Oryctolagus cuniculus: one gene and its partner. The protein of the gene in region 1 interacts with the protein of each later gene in a biochemical or structural test. Links are inferred from orthologs where the notes say so. Each region holds a gene or a part of one and is shown in the gene's direction. Other genes may lie near its edges. The genes, in order: ATF3 and JUND.

Evidence for each region.
Region 2: the proteins of ATF3 (region 1) and JUND form a complex in vitro, tested with the Homo sapiens proteins (2 studies listed by BioGRID and IntAct, with this or other methods). The link is inferred for Oryctolagus cuniculus from reciprocal best matches to the Homo sapiens genes ATF3 and JUND.

What each region holds. Positions count from the first base shown.
Region 1 is NC_091444.1:27,071,354-27,075,156, forward strand, and holds part of ATF3 (cyclic AMP-dependent transcription factor ATF-3), read left to right. Parts: intron 1-1,763; coding exon 1,764-1,866; intron 1,867-3,803.
Region 2 is NC_091447.1:65,581,603-65,585,422, reverse strand, and holds JUND (transcription factor JunD), read left to right. Parts: upstream 1-1,340; 5' UTR 1,341-1,475; coding exon 1,476-2,504; 3' UTR 2,505-2,639; intron 2,640-2,702; 3' UTR 2,703-3,246; downstream 3,247-3,820. UniProt on the Homo sapiens protein: Transcription factor binding AP-1 sites.

The sequences.
Region 1 (3,803 bases):
GTGGGCTCTTGCCGTGTCTTCTATTCTTATAACATATATATATATATATATATACACACACACACACATATATATATTCTATGTAATCATCTGTATGAATCTACATTTTACAATAAGACATATTTTTAAGAAGAAAAATTATAGTAATAAAGACCACAGACTATTCCAAGCAAAAGAACAAATTCCAAAATTTCATGTAATGTACAATCTATTTTAAAATCATATGCACGAGAAAAAAAGACTGGGATGAAGCACACCAAAATGCTAATAGTGTTGAAAATATGGGTAATTGCTTCCTCTTGCCTGTTCCCCAAATTTTGACATTGGCAAAAAATTATAGTAAAATTTCCTCTAGGGGAAGGTACTGTGGCACAGCAGTCAGGCCAACATTTGGGATGCCTGCATCCCACCTCAGAGTGTCTGGTTCAGGTCCTGGCTGCTCCATTTCAGATCCAGCTTCCTGCTGGTACACACTCTAGGAGGTGACGGTTTGGGAGCTTGGATCCTTGCTGCCCGCATGGAAAACCTGGATGGAGTTTCAGGCTCCTGGCTTCAGCTTACCCTAGCTCCAGCTGTTGTAGATATCTGGAGGATGAGCCAGTAGATGGAAAATATCTCTCTCTCTCTCTCTCTCTGTTGTTCTATTTTTTAAAAAGTTCATGGAAAAGTGCATTATTTTTAAACAAAAAATGAAAATTTCCTCTAAAGGAGTATTTAAAAGTATGATTTTAAAAATTATTTAGCCGGAGCCGTGGCTCACTAGGCTAATCCTCCACCTTGCGGCGCCGGCACACCGGGTTCTAGTCCCGGTCGGGGCACCGGATTCTGTCCCGGTTGCCCCTCTTCCAGGCCAGCTCTCTGCTGTGGCCAGGGAGTGCAGTGGACGATGGCCCAAGTGCTTGGGCCCTGCACCCCATGGGAGACCAGGAGAAGCACCTGGCTCCTGCCATCGGATCAGCACGGTGCGCCGGCCGTAGCGTGCTGGCCTTGGCGGCCATTGGAGGGTGAACCAACGGCAAAGGAAGACCTTTCTCTCTGTCTCTCTCTCTCTCTCATTGTCTACTCCGCCTGTTGAAAATAATAATAATAATAATAAAATAAAATAGAAAAAAATTATTTAAAATCACTTTTGTATTTACAAGTATTTCCAAAAAAGTTTGTGGGAAATAGAATTAAAAGATAAGCTTATTGCATTGTAAAAAAATTTTGAAATACATGCACAGTTTTTTCATAACACACATTTTTTATGGGCTTTTTGAAGACCCCCAGTGCTATCTCATTTGATTCCTATACTAACACTGTGGGGGGAGTCGATGTTAAGTAGTCCCATTTTACAGACTGGAAAACTGAGACAAAAGGTTGATGATTTACATGAAGCCACTCTGCTGGCAAGAGGTAAACCTGGGGGTGGGCCCAAGGCTCCTGCGCCCTGCTAATCCTCCAGATGCCCCAGGATCCATTCTCTTACGTGGGGACAGCTGCTACTTGGGGCTGGTCCCTGTGCTCCAAGGTGGGTGTCCATGGTAGTTGACAGAGGGCTACACACAAGCTGTCCCCAAAGATGTAATCCCTCCTCTGTGGCAAGGCACCAAGTCCTTGTGTGTAAAACTCCTGGGAGATGTTGAGGGGGAGGGCACAGTCTGGCTGAGAATCAGGTCGGACAACATTTCTGACTCTGGGTTTTGGAGGGGAAAGGCAATTGTGGGACCGGGTCTGGCTTTGTGTGATTTAACACCTCCCCTGGACACCTTCTTTCTCCCCAGCTCTCTGCACGGACGTCACCAGAGACTCAACAAGGTGCCTGTGGCACAGGATCTGCCTTCAGGACCCTCAGAGCTCAGCCCAGGGACCCTCACTTCAGAAAAGGTGGGAGCCACAGAAAGGGAGGGTCTTCCTGCAGAATGCCATAGGCAGTGCCAGACCGAAACCATCATACTCTGTTCAGAGTCCAGTGTACTTTGCAGGGCCACCACCCAGCACCAGGGAAAGCCCCAGGGGTGTGCTGGAGCTGCTACAGGTGGAAAATGAGGACTACTCTCACGGTTTTCTCTCTGGGGTCCTCTCCCTGTCCCTCTCATGACTGTCACCCTAGGCATGGCTTGACTGCACCCACAGCTATTTCCCCTGATGGGAGGGGACAGGGAGCTGTGGGGGAGATTCAGAGAGTACCCCCAGGAAGCCCACCCTGCTTTATAACTAATGATGCCACAACAGAGGGCCAACTCTGCCCCATCCTCAGGGGATCTTTGCCAGCAATCTTCTGCACTGAGTGCGACCGTGGAGGCCATTTTTCAGTTGCGGGAACTTCAGCCTGCAGAGTGAAATTACTTGCCCAACACTGCATCCAGAACCAAAGCTCCTCTCACCCTTCTGAGCTCACTGGGCTGCCCAGAGGCTGCCCATTTTGCAGACCCTTGCTTTAGAAAGTCCCGGGTTCAAACTGAATTTGGGGAAAGTAAGACTACTGAGAAATACAATGGAGGAGAAAGAAACCCAGCCCGCTCCCTTTGGAGGTGAAGAAGTGTGCTGAGCCAGGCAGCCGGGACTGCCACTTTTCCTGCTGTTTAACTTGTGTTTCTGGAGCGCTGTGAGCAAACACAGTCTTGAAGTCTGGAGTACAGAGGAATGAGGGAGAGGAATGTGGGAAGGGACCGTGCGCTGAACCAAGAAACTGCTAAGACCTTTAAATATCTCTTGAACTTTTTCTTTCCTTTTCTTGCTTTTGGCTCCCTGCAATGTTTTGTGTTTAGCTCTGGTTGCCACGAGTGGGCTGTTTTTAGCTGCTTCGTTCCTTCCCGTCTCCTTTTAATTTTTTTCTCCCTTCCTTTTGCACAAGCCCCAGCATGAAGTCTCCAGTTCTTATCTCACTCAGCAAAAACAAACCAAGGCTGATCTGAATTGTGGAATCCCCAGGCGGCTCTCCAGGGAAAACCTCTGCAGTAATCAAGTCTCCTTCGCTGAAGATTAACCCCTAACATAACCCTAACCAGGACCTATCCGAGGCGGGAGAGACGTTGCTCGCCTTTGTGGAGACAAGGGGTTTTGGAGCGGGGCGCTTCCCTTGCCTCCCACCGGCACGGCACAGCCTGTGCGTGTGATGAGGGTGTGACCCTGCACACTGTGGGCATCAAGTCAGGAGCGAGGACGCACGAGGCTCACATACGGGTCATCCTCCCCGCCCCCCGCTGCCGCCGTGGCACCGACTGCGGGTGCTCTTCCCTTCTCCTGCCCTTTCAGTCTCCCTCCAGGTCGGCGGGCGCTGATTTCACAGTTTTCCTGGGGAAAAGAGGGGAGGAGAGCAGGTAGAAGTAGTTTTTGTTGTCCTTGGATACTAAGTTTCATTCAAGTCGGGGCGGGGAGGGGGGTGGCCCGACTTCTCCAGCGAGATTCTTATCGCTCTTCAAGTTTCGGGAGGAGAGCGGGCAGGCAGTGCCCGCCTGGGACTCCCTGTACGCAGCCCATACCGCCTCCACCGCCTGCGTGACCTGGAGATGCGAGCCTAAGTAAGAGTGATGAGAAGGATCAGGATTGGTGGGAGGAGCTGCAGGCACCGCGGTAACACAAACAAGCCGACGAAGCATAGCGGACGTCTCTGGGGTCTTCCTCGCCCTCCCCTCGCACGCTTCTGTGGACGCCGCTCTGTATGTTCACTGGGTGCCCTAACCTGAGTCTGCGTTTATGGGGTTCCACAGTTCTTCGGTGGCTTCCGTGAATTCATGGACTCACAGCTTACCCCCTCCCCCCACCCCAGTACACAGCGCTGCAGACGGCTCACAGAGAAAATAAACAAATCAACAAATAAA
Region 2 (3,820 bases), on another chromosome or scaffold:
CGTGCTGCGGGCCGCGTGGGTGTCCGGCTGTGCCAGCAGCAGCCTGCCCCAACCAGAGATGCCAGTCCCGGGCCGGGCCGCCAGGGTCGCTCCTGCCTGGCCCGTGTCCCCATCACCCCCCTGGGGGGCTGATGAGGCTGCTGGGAGGAGAGGCGCCCGCCCTCTCGCCCAAGCCCCTGGGGGCGAACCTCACCTGGCCTCCCCCAGCCCTCTCCTGCGCGGGCTGCACCGTGGTGACCCGAGAGAGCTCCCAGCGAGCCCCTGCTAGGTCGTCCTCGGTCCACTTTCAGGAGGGGGAGACTGAGGTTCACAGAGAGAACACAGGCCCCTGAGGGTGCCCGCCCTGGCCAAGGTCCACGCGCACAGGGCTGGGGCTGGCCCCACCCACCTACAGCTCGCCCAAAGTCCCCCCACGCCCCACACACACTCCGGGGCGCAGGGCCACTGGGCAGCACACACAACACGTGCAAAGGCCCAGGGGTGGCCAAAGTTCAGCGAGGGTGAGAGGAGGTCAGGGGCAGCCTCCCGGCCCGGCTAAGGAGTGAGCTCCCTCCCGGGGCCAGCGCGGCTCAGGGCGGGTGGGGAGCGTCCCTGGGGTCCTCTGTCCCCTCTCCCTCCCACGCCTACCCAGCCGGCTTAATGAAGCCCTCGCCACCACGGGGGCCCTGCAGGCAGGCAATAATTAGTAGCTGGGACTCCTGCTCATCCGCTTCGCCCTGGGAGCCGCTTCAGGCCCGGGCAGACCCAGGGTTAAACGCGTGGGCGGGGCCGGGGTGGGGGGCCCCCTCCTCGGCTCCCCCCAGGCCCTGATGGGGACGCCGCGCCCTCCCCCGGGCCGCCAGGTCCCCGGCGCACAGCAGCGGCGGGCGGCACCGTCGGAGCAGCGGGGCGGGCGGCGCCAGGGACTTATTTATCCGCGCCGGACCCCCACCCACTGCGGTCCCTGGAGGCCGGCGCCGCCCCCGCCCGGCCCGGGCCCACGCGCGTCCGCGGGGCGGGGCCTGGGGCCGGGGCCGGGGCCCTGGGGCGGGCCCATCACGCCACCCGGGAGGCGGCGCCGGGGCAGCGGCCGTCCGTCCAGCTCGCCTGCCCCCCGTCCCCGGACGGCCAGGCGGGCGGAGGCGGGGGGAGGGGAACCAGCCCGGGCGCGCGGCCCCGCCCCCATGACGTCAACCCACAAGGCTGCGCGCTGTTGTGCGCTGTACCGCGCGTCGCCGGGGCAACGGCGGCCGGGGCGCGGCCCCGCCCCTGCATGCAAATGAGGACGTCGCCCTGGCCCAATGGCGAGCAGGGGCGGTGAGCTCATCGCTCGGGGCCGAGGCTATAAGAGGGCGCCCGGGCGGCGCGGCGCGGGAGCCGCCGCCAGCGCAAGGCCGGGCGCAGCGGCCGCGGCCGGGGCCGAGCGCACGCGGGGGGCCGAGCGCGCGGGCCCCCCGGGAGGCCGCGGCCACTGCCCCTCCCCGGGGCGGCGGAGCATGGAAACGCCCTTCTACGGAGACGAGGCGCTGAGCGGCCTGGGCGGCGGCGGCGGCGGCTTCGCGGCCCCGGGCCGCCCGTTCCCCGGCGCGCCCCCGCCGGCCGGCGGCATGCTGAAGAAGGACGCGCTGACGCTGAGCCTGGGCGAGCAGGTGGCGGCGGCGCTGAAGCCCGCGCCCGCGGCCCCGCCGGCGCCCGGCGCGGCGCCCCCCGACGGGCTGCTGGCCTCGCCGGACCTGGGGCTGCTCAAGCTGGCCTCGCCGGAACTGGAGCGCCTGCTCATCCAGTCCAACGGGCTGGTGACCACCACGCCGACCAGCGCGCAGTTCCTCTACCCCAAGGTGGCGGCCAGCGAGGAGCAGGAGTTCGCCGAGGGCTTCGTCAAGGCCTTGGAGGACTTGCACAAGCGGAGCCAGCTGGGCGCGGGCGCGGCCGCCGCGGTGGCTGCCGCCGCCGCCGCCGCCGGGGGGCCCTCGGGGACTGCCGCGGCCGCCGCGCCCCCCGGCGAGCTGGCCCCGCCGCCCGCCGCGCCCGAGGCGCCCGTCTACGCGAACCTGAGCAGCTACGCGGGCGGCGGCGGCGGCGGCGGCGGCAGCGGCAGCGGGAGCGGCGGGGGCGCGGCGGGCGCGGGGGCCGCCTTCGCCGCCGAGCCGTTCCCGCCACCCCCGGGCGCGCTGGGGCCGCCGCGCCTGGCCGCGCTCAAGGACGAACCGCAGACGGTGCCGGACGTGCCGAGCTTCGGCGAGAGCCCGCCGCTGTCGCCCATCGACATGGACACGCAGGAGCGCATCAAGGCCGAGCGCAAGCGGCTGCGCAACCGCATCGCCGCCTCCAAGTGCCGCAAGCGCAAGCTGGAGCGCATCTCGCGCCTGGAGGAGAAGGTGAAGACGCTCAAGAGCCAGAACACGGAGCTGGCGTCCACGGCCAGCCTGCTGCGCGAGCAGGTGGCGCAGCTCAAGCAGAAGGTGTTGAGCCACGTCAACAGCGGCTGCCAGCTGCTGCCCCAGCACCAGGTGCCCGCGTACTGAGCCGGCGGCGGGCGCATGCGCGGCCCCCGCGCGCGCGGGGCGGAGCGGCGGGGGCGCGCGGAGGCCCGGGGGGCGCCCCGGAGTCGGTACCACGGCGCGGTCCCCGGAGGGAGCGCCCCTGACTCGGAGACCACGGTGGGGCGTCCCGGACTCGGAGACCACGGAGGGGGGGGCGCCCCGGACTCGGAGACCACGGAGGGGGGGGCGCCCCGGACTCGGAGACCACGGCGCGGCCCCCCTCCCGCCTCTCCCAGCGGAGCCCCCCTCCCGCCCCGCCCCCCCCCGGACTCGACAAGCTGGACCCCCTGCTCCCGGGGGCCGAGCGCAAGACCCCCGCTGCCCGCGCTGCCTCGGGCCGCCCCCCTGCCCCCCGCCGCTCTGTGCGCGGCGCCGCGGGCGAGGGGCGCATGCGGCTCCTTTTACTTTTATTTTTTTGGTTTTTTGTTTTGCCTTTGGAAGCGAGGAGATCGGAGTGTGCGGTTCCGCCCTATTTATGTTTCTACTCGGGAACAAGCGTCGGTTGCGTGCGTGCGTTTTCCTTGTTGGTTTTTTTTTTAAAGAAATGGGAAGAAGAAAAAAAAAAAGACCCCGCCCCCTCCCCTCCCCTCCCCTCGCCTTCCCCCCCGCCGCCCTTTTTTTTTTCCTGGTTTTGTTGTGTGTTGTTCCGCTCCGAGCCCACATTCCTGTCGCTCTCCCTGGGTCCGCCCCGTGTTCTGTTTGCAGTAAAAGTCTCCGTTCGCCAGCTCGGCTCCGCGCCTCCTCCTTGCCCCCCGCCCCCGCCGCGGGGCGGGGCCTGGCCGCCGCCCCGCCCCCCGCCGCGGAGGGGGCAGTGGGCGGGCCGCCGGCAGGGCTCGGGGTTGGGGTGGCTGGCGGGAGGCGGTGTAGACGGGGGCAGCCCCGGGCCGAGGCCGGGAAGCTGCACAGGCCAATTTTATTTGATTTTTTGGTAACTTTGCGCCGTGGGCCTCTGCTTCCCTCTCTGTGCAATGGGGGGACCACCCTGGTCTGGCCTGGCCTGGCCTGGGAAGCCCCGGGGTTAGGAGCCGGTGCCCAGAGGGTAGGGAGTCTGATGGCTGGGCTTGGGGGTTCCGCGGGGCAAGGGAAGACAAACGGGGGTGCGGGGAGGCGGCGGGGTGGGGGGCCTGCCTCCGGGCCTGGAGGCGTGGCCACGCGGCCGGCTGGAGGGCCCACGGAGCCTCCCCGGCCTTCGCGGGTGGGGCCCCGGGCTTGTGACTCACTCGGGGACCGGGAGACGCCCCCGGTCTTGGTGTGACGGCCCCACCCCGCCCGGCCAGCAGGTGCAGCAGGGAGGCCCC